Linked DNA regions of Coturnix japonica. The protein of the gene in region 1 purifies or fractionates together with the protein of each later gene. This does not show direct contact. Links are inferred from orthologs where the notes say so. Each region holds a gene or a part of one and is shown on either strand. Other genes may lie near its edges.

What was found. The genes of interacting proteins can lie anywhere in the genome.
Region 2: the proteins of NKX2-1 (region 1) and FOXA1 purify together in Homo sapiens (affinity purification with western blotting; 3 studies listed by BioGRID and IntAct, with this or other methods). This does not show direct contact. The link is inferred for Coturnix japonica from reciprocal best matches to the Homo sapiens genes NKX2-1 and FOXA1.

What each region holds. Positions count from the first base shown.
Region 1 is NC_029520.1:33,196,423-33,201,237, forward strand, and holds part of NKX2-1 (homeobox protein Nkx-2.1), read right to left. Parts: exon of another isoform or gene 3,475-4,815; intron 2,232-3,474; coding exon 1,855-2,231; intron 1,304-1,854; coding exon 633-1,303; 3' UTR 1-632. UniProt on the Homo sapiens protein: Transcription factor that binds and activates the promoter of thyroid specific genes such as thyroglobulin, thyroperoxidase, and thyrotropin receptor. Crucial in the maintenance of the thyroid differentiation phenotype.
Region 2 is NC_029520.1:33,707,523-33,713,920, forward strand, and holds the start of FOXA1 (hepatocyte nuclear factor 3-alpha), read right to left. Parts: upstream 4,257-6,398; 5' UTR 4,027-4,256; coding exon 3,955-4,026; intron 2,060-3,954; coding exon 803-2,059; 3' UTR 1-802. UniProt on the Homo sapiens protein: Transcription factor that is involved in embryonic development, establishment of tissue-specific gene expression and regulation of gene expression in differentiated tissues.

The DNA.
Region 1 (4,815 bases):
AAGCCAAAGCCTCGTGTGGCCCCCCGGCTCCATCGCTGGGACGAGGCTGGGAGCGGAGCCGGGGGGTGGGGGAGGTTGCTCTGTGGCTGCGCGCCGCGACCGCGTTTTTGGGAAAAAACCCAACCCCATCCTCCCCAATCTCTATATTTACATGCAAGTCCTAGACGCTGGCAAAGGGTCCATCTGCAATCCGAGCCTTCGGGCCATGCCTTACCGACGGGCCCCTGTCTGCAGACTGCTCCGTGGTTATTGGTCAGAATTGGTTTAACATCCCACACAGCAAGCTGGGGGGGAAACGGGAAAAAAGAAAGACCCAAAACCGTCACAGTATCAGAGAACGGAACAAAAAGTCACTCTCTCCCTTTCTCTCTTAGGGGTTCTCAGAGAACCACTCAGTAAAACGGGGGGGCGAAAAAATGCTTTAGGGAAAAAAGAAAAAAAAATGTAAAAAATGAAAAAAAGAAAAAAAGAAAAAAAAAAAACAATAAAAGAGCAAAGGAAGAAGCACCCAGTACTTTGGACAGGACAGAGATTTGCGTGACTGGGAAAATTTGCTTTTTTCTTTTTCTCCTTTTTGTTTTGTTTCGTTTCGTTTCGTTTTGTTCTGTTTTGTTTCGCTTTCTTTAATCCTTTCACCAGGTCCTACCGTATAGTAAGGTGGAGCAGGACATGGCAGTGCCATAGTCAGAAGTGGAAGAGTTCAGGTGAGACAAACTGGAGACTTGGCTCTGCAGGGAGGAAGGGCTGGCCGAGTGCTGTCCCATGTCGGGAGACTGCCCCGCACTGTTTGTCTGATGGCTCTGATGCTGTCCGAGGCTGTTGCCATTGGTGGCTACCGTGATGGTCGTGGCCGCCTGCTGCGGGTGGTTCTGGATGGCTGCGGTGGGGGTGTTGGAGCCCGCCTGGCAGGGCTTGCCATCCTTCACCAGCACCGGCACCGCCACCCTCCTGGGGGACTGCTGCTGCTGGCAGGAGCCGTTCTCCTGTTGCATCTGCTGCTGCGCAGCCTTGTCTTTGGCCTGCCGCTTCATCTTGTAGCGGTGGTTCTGGAACCAGATTTTGACCTGAGTCGGGGTGAGGTGGATCATGCTGGCTAAATGTTCCCTCTCGGGAGCGGAGAGGTATTTCTGCTGCTTGAAACTTCTCTCCAGCTCGTAAACTTGGGCCTGGGAAAACAGGACCCTCCGTTTCCTCCGCGGCGTGCTCTGCAGCGGGGCCATGCTCTTGCTCACGTCCCCCAGGGAGCTCAGGCCGCCCATGCCGCCCATGTTCATGCCCGATGACGGCGCCATGAAGCGGGAGACTGCAAGGCAGAAGGGGCGCGCTGTCAGCGGCTCGTTTCGGCCCCGCGCTGCCCCCGCTCCCGCAGCCGCCGCCTCTCTCGTTCCCCCGCCGCCCGCGGGACCCCCTCTCTCCCGGCCCGGCCCCGCTCGCCCCTCGCACCGCAGGCGTGCCGCCGCACGGTCCCTGCAGCCGACGGCTCCCGCGGCCGGGGGCTCCGCCGAGCCGGGCTCTCCCGTTCCCCCAGCTCGTTCACGGCTCCAGCGGCTCCGCTTCCCTTCGTCCTGCCGGGGTCGAGCGGAGCGCTGGGGGCCGGGCAGTGCCGGCTTCCCTGGGGCTGTGTTCCACGCCGATGCGCGGCTGCCGGCTCCCCCCTCCCGCCTGCCGCCCCGGGAGCTGCCGCGAAAAGCCCGGAGAGGGGGGACGGGGCCCGATCCTCCGGTAGAAGGATGAAAGAGGCGGAGGGGAGCGAGCGGGGTCCGCGCCGACTTTTGCCCCCGACGACCGCGGGGCGGAGGGGCAGAGAGGGACGCAGCCACCCCCCAGTGGACAGCCGGCCCCGGGCTCACTTACTTGAAGAGAAGCGGGGGTCCGGGTTGGTGCCGTACCATCCTGTCGCTGAAGCGCTGTTCCGCATGGTGTCCTGGTAAGGCGGGAGCTCGCTCATGTTGCCCAGGTTCCCATTGCAGTAGCCCCCCATAGTAGCGTGGGAGAGCTGGGGGACCCCTGCCGCTGTCATATGGTAGGCGGCAGTCACCGTTCCGTTGTGGCCCATGGGGTGTTGCTGCATGGCCGGCTGCGAAACCTGAGACTGTCTGTAGGCTGACAAGGGAGCCCCCAAGTTACTGCCCTCCATGCCCACTTTCTTGTAGCTTTCCTCCAAAGGACTCAAGATGTCAGACACTGAGAAAGGAGTCGTATGCTTTGGGCTCATCGACATGATTCGGCGGCTGGGGAGGGAGAAAAAAAAAAAAAAAAAAAAAAAAAAAAAAAAAAAAAAAAAAGAAGGGGAGGCAAATCTTTTTTTTTTTTTTTTTTTTTTTGCCAAATATTCTGGTGTTGCCTTAACGCCGATCTTGTTGGATGTACACGTAACCGAGTGGACGAAGTCCGCCTTAATTGGATTGAGTGGAGGCTCAGGGCTGCCTTTCGTTTGTTTTAGCCAGACGCCAGGTTTTAGGCTGCCACCAGAGGCGGGGCATAGGCACTAAAGCAACAAGACAATAGAAGCCTACATCTTGCCCAAGATAATTAGCTTACATGCTGATGACAAGGTAAACACCTTTAAGTTTTACTTGTCAGGATTTTTTTTTTTTTTTTTAATGTCTTAAAAAAGAGAGAGAGAGAGAGAGAGCGGCAGGGAGATGGAAAGAGAGAGAGACCCCGTGCGCAGAACTCATTTTATTTTTCTCGGGGGTTACAATATTGTGGACGGGTAATGGAGAGCAATGCCTAAAGCCCCCGTCTGCCTGTGTGGAAGGATTTCATATCAGCCGCGGGTGGGAAGGCTGGCAGGCAGCAGTCGGGAGAGCTGCGGGCACGGGACTGCTGCCGCTGGGCACTAGGAGCGACCCTCCTCTGCCCCCCAGATCTGCCCGGAGGGGCTCCGCAGCCAGCGATCCGCAACACCTCCCGCTGCTTAGGCGCCCCGTGGCACCTGGTATCCCAGGCACCTTTCTGTACCCCCTAAGACCCTCGGTGTGAGACCCCCTGTGCGAGGATCGTTTCTCTCCCTGAAGCCACAAGTTCCATTTACCTAAGGCTTTCTTGTCTTTTTTTTTTTTTTTTTTTTTTTTTTTTTTAAACCTCAGAGAGAGGTGGAAGATGCAAGTTTACATAAACGAGCAGCAATTACATTGCTCCGAGAGACACACTACTGAAACAGCATAAAGCAAAGCGTCTCTCGTTATTCCCAAAGGCAAAGGCTGCCCCAGGCTCCCGAGGTCCCTCTGAACCCGAAGCTGCTCCCTAAGGTTATTTATACAGCGCGGGAGCTGCATGAAGAAGACCTCTCGGGTCATTTGCCGCACCACCTTGCTAACGAACTCCTGCCACTTAGAAAAAACCTCAATTTCTGCCATTTTCGGATCAGTTGTGGGATCCTGCGTAAGAACAAAAGAGAACCCACTCCCATCTCCGCGCACACACACGCGGCGAGTAGCCCGTCACAGCTTCTGGTCCCCACGCGCGTACCTCGGTGCGCTTCGGGAGGAAGGGAGGAACCTCCACTGAGCAATTCACACCCCGGCCGATAGCCCTGGGAAAGTCGTTTAATAAAGCGATTACCTGAATATTAAGGAAATTACAGCGAAGGTACAGTTAACCCAGTGACTTTGAAGTGTCAAGTAACTATTTAGTAATTGCACTTGTAAATATATTGGTGCTCGGCTGGTTCGTGCTTAAAAATGCAAAAGTGCACTTGCTACCCGGGAATAACTAAATATCTTTGTCTAAAGTGGCAGCGTAAATAGCCGGTCGCTTTGTGACTACGCTAGATATTAGCGCATAAGGATCATTTTGCCTCAATTGGGAGGCTCTCATTCAGTAGGCAAGAAACCGTTTAGGAGAAAGTAGGTTCCCGTATGAGAGTTAACATCCTTCAAGTGTAAGCCTCAGCCTTGATTACACTTTACAGCTCCGCGAGAGGTGAGCTTTTCCACACACATAAACCGGGGGACTTTCCTTCCGTCAGGCCCTCGGCCCTTCTGGCCCCGCTTGGATCCCCCCAGCCCCAGGGTGGGCTCTTGGGGGTCCGTCGGGTCCCGCGGGCACAAGGGCAGTTTCAGGCTGGGGGCGGCTTCTCTGAATTCGGCCTCTTTCCTCTCCGGACCTTTGGATCACTTCCTTCCAGATCCCTGGGGTATTTATTTCCCCTTACCTCCCACTCCCGCGTCTCTTCTCCCCCCATCCCCCTTTCTGTGCGCATTTTTCAGTAAGATCTTGGGGTTTGCTCCTGAAAAGAGATCTCACCTTGTGGGGTTTTGTTTGTTTCTGTTTCCCTCGGATTCCTCGCCCATCACCTCCGTGCCTGCTTTATTGGCCTTTAAGAACAGGAGGGTGAGGATAGAGGAAAAAATAATACCGAAGGATCCACCATCACATCAATCTCGGGAGGTAGCACGGCGGTGCCCCATAACCCGCGGAGCCGGGGTTGGGCTGGTGGCTGCCCATACTGCACCATCCCGGGCACAGCCGCTTCTATGGGGTGCGCTCGGGCAGCCCCCGAAACGCTGCTTGGTGAAATGGAGCCGAACGAGTCCGGCCCTGACCCTGCTCGGGGGCTGGAGGAGGGGAATTAGAGAGAGAGCAGCGGGGTGAAGATCTTTTAGTGGGCTGACCGCTGTCTGTGGATACTGAGGTTCTGCACCCCGCAAGATCCCACCTGCAGTTTTCAGCCCCTCCGGATCCATCCAGTGAGATGGAGCAGGGCAGCCCCCGATCCTCCTTACCGCCCCAAGTAGCTCTGCGGGGCCAGTCGAGCCTCGGCTGCTCCCCTCTGCCGCCCTTTCGGAATCCACCCCTCTCCTCTCAGCC
Region 2 (6,398 bases), about 510 kb from region 1:
TGATGGGTGTGTAATGTATTAAACGAGGTGGGAAAGGGGAGAGGAAGGGCTCTCCTCTGTTCCTAGCGCTGGTGTGAGGGCCAGCGCCTCCCGGGAAGGGGATAACCTTGTTTTCAGTCCATAGCTCCGCTGGTACGCGACGAAGAGACCTTAAATTAAATAAGCATGTCATCCACACGTAGGCGAGAATGCCTGAGGAACGAGAACCTTCAGTAACAGATGGGAAGGAAAAAAATCCAACTGGCTGTGACCTCTTGTAACGTTATATTACATCCCAAGACAGGTAACACTTGGAAAAAAATAAAGGGGGGTTTGTGGGGAGTCTGTCCCGACCCCGGGCTGCAGCTGGGCCGGGTGCGGGGTGCGGCTGTCCAAGCCGGAGGTTTGTTTTGCAAGTATCAAAAGGATGATCCGAGAGAGCAAACAGTCCTCTTGTTGCTTAGAGATTCTCTTAGTGTGTTGCTACTTCACAGCAGTATTGTCCTTCAAAGCCTTTTTAATTAAAAAAAAAAAAAAAAAAAAAAAAAAAGCCTTAAACCTCTACTCGCTTCTTCATCTCCGTATTGGGAAAGTATTGCCACATACCTGTAAACTTACATGAGATTATAGTAGAGCGGGGCGGGGGGCGGAAAGCACAACGAGTAGTTTACAAGCTCACCCATTTTTCTCCTTTTCAATGACACCCTGCGGGGTGCGGGGGATATGTACAGCGCGGGGGGGAGAGGGGGGTGCGGGACGGGGACAGCGCACGGCCATCGGGAAGTAACAGTCCTGTGCACGGCGTGCGCCCCGAGGCAGCGAGCTACGAGGTGTTGAGCACGGGTCTGGAGTACACCCCCTGGTAGTAGGAGGGCTCCAGCGCCGAGGGCTCGATGCTGCCGCGGGCCGCCATGGAGCCGCCGCCCAAGGGCAGCCCGCCGGGGATGGCGGCCCCGTACGAGGAGTACTGCAGCGCCTGCTCGTAGGCTTTGAAGTCCAGCTTGTGCTGCTGCTCTGAGGAGGACATGAGGTTGTTGATGGAGAACGGGTGGTTGAAGGAGTAGTGGGGGTCCCCTTTGAGGTGCAGCTGGGGTTCGTGGGCCAGGGAGTGCGGGGGGTGCGGGACGGAGGCCAGGGCGGGCACGGAGCCGAGCGAGGAGGCGGCGGCCGGGGCCGAGGGCTTCAGTTCGGCGCTAGGGCCGCTGTGGTCCATGGGCTGGGGGCTGGCGGCCGGGTTGGGGCCTGGCAGGGGGGCGGTGGCGTCGGGCGGCGCCGCTTTGCCGTGGGCGCGGGGCAAGGGAGAGCCGGAGCCCGAGGCGGACGTCTGGTCCTTTCGGCCCTCCGACGGGGCTTTGCCCCCCGCCGGCTTCTCGCACTTGAAGCGCTTCTGTCGGCGGAGATAGCTGCCGTTCTCGAACATGTTGTCGGAGTCGGGGTCCAGCGTCCAGTAGCTGCCCTTGCCCGGCTTGTCGGGGTCGCGGGGCACCTTGACGAAGCAGTCGTTGAGGGAGAGGTTGTGGCGGATGCTGTTCTGCCAGCCCTGCTTGTTCTCCCGGTAGAAGGGGAAGCGGTCCATGATGAACTGGTAGATCTCGCTGAGGGTCAGCTTCTTCTCGGGCGCCTGCTGGATGGCCATGGTGATGAGCGCGATGTAGGAGTAGGGCGGCTTGGCGTGCGGATAGCTCCGCTTGAAGCTCTTGGCGTCCCGCGTGCGGCCGAGGTTGGACTGCGAGTAGGCCATGGGGCTGACGCAGGGGTTCATGCCGCCGTAGGGACCCAGCACGTTCATGGCGGCCGGCTGCCCCGACATGGCGCCCAGCCCTCCGGGGCTCAGCGCCGCGCCCATGGCCGCCACGCCGGCCGCCATCCCGTTCACTGCGCCCGCAGAGCCCGCCGGCATGGCGGCCACCGCGCCGGGGCTCAGCCCGGCTCCCAGCCCCGTGTTGGCGTAGGACATGTTGAAGGAGCCGGAGGTCATGTTGCCGCTGGTCGTCATGGTGTTCATACTCATGTAGGTGTTCATGGTGTTCATGGAGCCCAGCCCCGAGTTCATGTTGCTCACGGGCACCGAGGAATAGGCCTAGGGCAGCGAGACGAGAGAGGGTTAGCATGGAGCCCTGCACCGCGGAGCCTCCGAACCCGCCCAGGACGATCGCCGAGAGCCCGAATCCTCATGACGGGAACGGGTAGAGGCTGCTCGGTGACGCCGAGCCCAGCCTCAGCACCGCGGGCCCCTGGCTCGGCCGCCCCGAGTGCTTCGGGGCTCTGCGGGCTCCGAGCCCCGTGTTTGAATCCGTCCGATTACTGCGATCTACGGGCGCACGCCGGTGTGCTAGGGAAAACTTTCCCGGAATAACCGCACGCAGCTCTCCCTCCTCGCTGATGTATATTTCTGTTCCTACAGATAATGTCTTGTCACAAATCAAAATTAAAATATTAGAAAAAAAATCAGCAGCTCCCGTCTGCACATCGTACCTGTGGAAAGCTGCCCCTGTTCGCATTTCCTAACGAGTCAGGCTTAAAGTTCAAACCCACCATCCCAACCTTTACGATGCGCGCGGAGCCCCAGCTCCCACTGCACGGAATTCTCTGTAGCCCCCAACAATCGGGGTATTGCAGCCCGATCCCTCCTCACCGCTCTCACCAAATGCAGAACCTGGAGCCCCAAAATGTGCGTTTCGGGTTCACATCTGATTTCACGTGAGGGAGAAGGGCTCAGAGAAACTCGTACCCGTTCACCTCGAACAAAGGCAACGAGGCCGAGGAAAGGTTGTTAGGTGCGGGTTAAGTGCACTATAACATTCCCCATTATTCCCTACAAATTCCGCGAGCTTCTCAATGCGCTTTGAATTTAGAGGATCTCAGAAACTATCGGAGAGGGCTCCCACCTCACACTCAAATAGCGATTCCAGTTCAATAACACGGGAGGAGAAAAGAGTGGGGTTAAGAAAACAGCAAAAGGGCAGGTCGTGTAACTTTAGGTTCGTGGACAACGAGCGTGGAGAGGAAAAACGAGCGCGGCACTGACGCCCCTCGGGGATGCCCCCCTTTGCTCTGAGCTCTCCCCGCTGAGGGGGTGGCAGCGAGGTGACAGTGGTGTGGCAATGGGGTGGCCGTGGGGTGACACAGAGCTGCGCGGCCCTGCGGGAATGGGGACTGTGCCGTGTCCGGGTGCGCTGATGCAATGCCGGTGTGCACCTCGCGGCTCCCTCACTTCCTTAAAACGGCTCCTGCCAGGGCACCGCTCCCGCTTCTTCCGCGGTGGTGCCCCGCTGCCTTCCCCGCGGACCCCCGCAGAGGCCAAGCTATACCGGGGCCTGGATCACGGCGCTCCCCGGCCCTCTCCTAACGGCCTTCGGGCCGCTCATCACACCACGCCGGAGCACGGGGGGGCCCGGAAGAGGCTGCCGGCTGCCGCGGGTCGGCGGCTGGCGGCCGGGCCGGGCCCCCTCCGAGTTCCCCGGCCTCTCTCTGCAGCGCCGCCCGCCGGCATCTGAACAGCAGCGCCCACCGCGGGCGGGCTGTCTCGCAAAATCCGAACAAACGGCGATTTATTCTTTTTTTTTTTTCTTCCTTTCTTTTCTCTCGGCTCTAACAGGTGAGGCCCAGGCGGCAGCTAGCAGCGTGGGGCCCCAAGGAATGGGAGGGGGGGGCGTGGGGAGCGCGGAGCCCTCGGCCCGGCGCGCCCTGTGCCCGTGCCATATGCCGGGAGGAGCGGGACGGCAACGCGGCGGTCCCCTGCTCCGAGCCAGGAGTTCTTCGGGGTGAGCTCAGCGCTTCCCCCGGCCCCTCCGGTTCTCCTGCGGGCGGTGCGGAGCTCCTCGGGGTTGCTTGGCCGAGGAGAGACACGATGGCGCTGGCGGGAGACGCAGCGCGAAGCTGATCCCCCCTCTCGCTGCCCCTCTCTGCACCCCGGCCCTCCCCCAGCCCCCTCTTCTCCCTCTCGGAGGGACAGCGGACCCGAGGCTCGCTCACCTCCTGCGTGTCGGCGTAGTAGCTGTTCCAGTCGCTGGTCTCATGCCCTTCCATTTTCACAGTCCCTAACATTATGGAACCAACCTGCCCGGTGTAACCATCCAGCCCTCTTGCAAGCGAGCGACGGGTGGCAGGAAAAGAGCCCGAGAGGCCGACCTAGCAGGAAGCCAGCTCCCAGGAGGGGCGGGAGTGCCGAAATCTCCTCTATAATGAAGTCAAAAAGGAGGCAGGGAGCGGTGCGGGGCGAGACAGTCGAGAAAGTGAGGAAGTGCCGGCTGGGATGTGAGTGGAGTTGAGCTGATGTGGATCTTACGTCGCACAAAGTACCCTCCTCCTCCTCTCCCCATTTGTCCGCCGCACAAAGGCGTTCGCACCTACAAAGCCGGAGATGCACCTGCCAGCGAGGCAGCTCCCCTCGCCTGCGGCTCCCCTCGGGGCGGCACTTTATTTGCAAAGCGGCGTAATTGGTTTAAGCTTGCGGGGAAAGAAGGAGAGACGGAGGTGGGAGAGAGGAGGGAGGAAGCCCCCCCCCCCCCTCATAGACGGACAGGACAAGCTTTAGGAGGGCTCACTGGAAATGAAATGAGGTAGATAAGGAAAGGGCAGCCCCCTCTGTTTGAATAGAATGCTAAAGGCCATCCAGCCCTAAAACCCCGAGATTAGGGGCCATATTTACTGAAGTCCAGTAGATGCTCCTCTAACAGAATGGCCGGGAAATCCTCGCACGCTCCCCCTGTTCCTCCCGTCAAGGTACCGGCGCTCGATCCAGATCCCTAAGCCCTCAACCCCGCGGTGCCCTCCACCCGGGACTGTGACGGTGATGGTGATGATGATGATACCTCTTTCTTGGTGTCTTACTTTTAGGAATCATGAGTCACCGTGGTGAGCTGTAACACTCTAGACACCCAATAAATGCGGACAGAGACTTGAATGCGGATCCACCGAGGTCAGCCTCTGCCTGACAAACACCAGGTGAGTCACTGGAACAATTTTATTTCTTTCCTGGCGAAAGCCTCCAGGCCAGAAGGCTGTTTGAGAGCCTTGGGGAGCCTTCTCTGGGGCCGGGCACCATTGCCTTCTTCCCAGCTTTTCTCATGGAAGAAAGAGAATCCTCAAAGGCTGGAGGGCGAAAAGGGGCTACAGAGACAAGGTAAATGGACACTGGACGAAGCTCTTTAAAGTATGGATGCAGGGAACCTCAGTCTTCACAGGTGGATCTAACATGCTCTCATTCTGTCCCTGCCCGGCTCTTCGAGCTTATGCGAAGACCGCCGACAGTTCCTGGGTTTCTCGCCTTGTGCTTTTTCCTTCCCAGAGACTTTTATCATCTGATAGTGGGGGGAGGGGGGGAAGTAAACAAACCCGGAAACAAAAATAAAACACACACACACACACACGCCAACATAGCAAAGCAGAAAACCCAAAACTCAAGTAGCTGTTCGTGGAATGGCAATTTGAAGGGGAAATAAAGGTTGTTGGGATTTTTGACAAACTTAGGTGTACTATATGACACAAAATACAATGCCTGGATCCGAATTTCTTCTTGGCATGTTTATCACCCGGTGAGATACACACCAATGTGTCCTCCAGGGCTCTGTGAGGACGTCCCCACCTCAAAACCGCTTTTTAAGAAGTTTATCAAACAGAGACGCAGGACCGAAATTCAAAGTTACAGGTTATCTCCTCCTCGAGGGCAGTGTTTTAATTTGTCCTCTAAGTGAGTTTCCTTTTTCTGCTCTCCCTTTCTTTGTTCTTTCTCCCCTGTCGCCTTTTTTATTTTCTTTTTTTTTTTTTTCTTTTTTTTTTCTTTAAATTTGGGAACAGAATTAAATCAAATCCCTGAAACAGATGCAAACCTGGAATCATCCAGCGAGAAAAAGGGATGAGAATGTGTCTTCAAGGAAACAAAATTAAAAAGATAAAAGCATTGAGTAAAACTCATCCTCTCAAGTGGCCAAACTACACAAATGGAAATTGGAACAAAATCCAGAGGAAAATCAAACAGATGCTCAAACTGTTGTCTTTATGTATGCACCCTCTCCCTTTCCCTAATGGAAACAGTCTGAACACGGAGACCCTTCGGTACCGGCTCTCTCAGCTCCGGTGCTCCGGCTCCGTTCAAAGCCTCCCAAAATGAGGGAGGGCTCCGGCATCCCGCTGCTCGCCGCACGGTGACCTCGGGGCGGTGCTGCCGCTTCCCAGCATGGCCCCACGGGAGCAACGCCCGGAGGGACGCGAGCAGCCCGCGCAGGGCTCGCCGTGTGCCGGGAGGGGAACAGGCACGGACCCCACGGGCGGCACGTAGCTCGGCATTGGGGCACACGCCGAGTCGCGCTGACACCGCCGTGCTGAGCCGCGCCGTGCCGTGCGCGGAGGCCGGGCTTGTGCAAAGCCGCAGCGCCTCCTGTTGTCCGGCCGCGGCTTCCTGCTCTCGACGCTGCTCC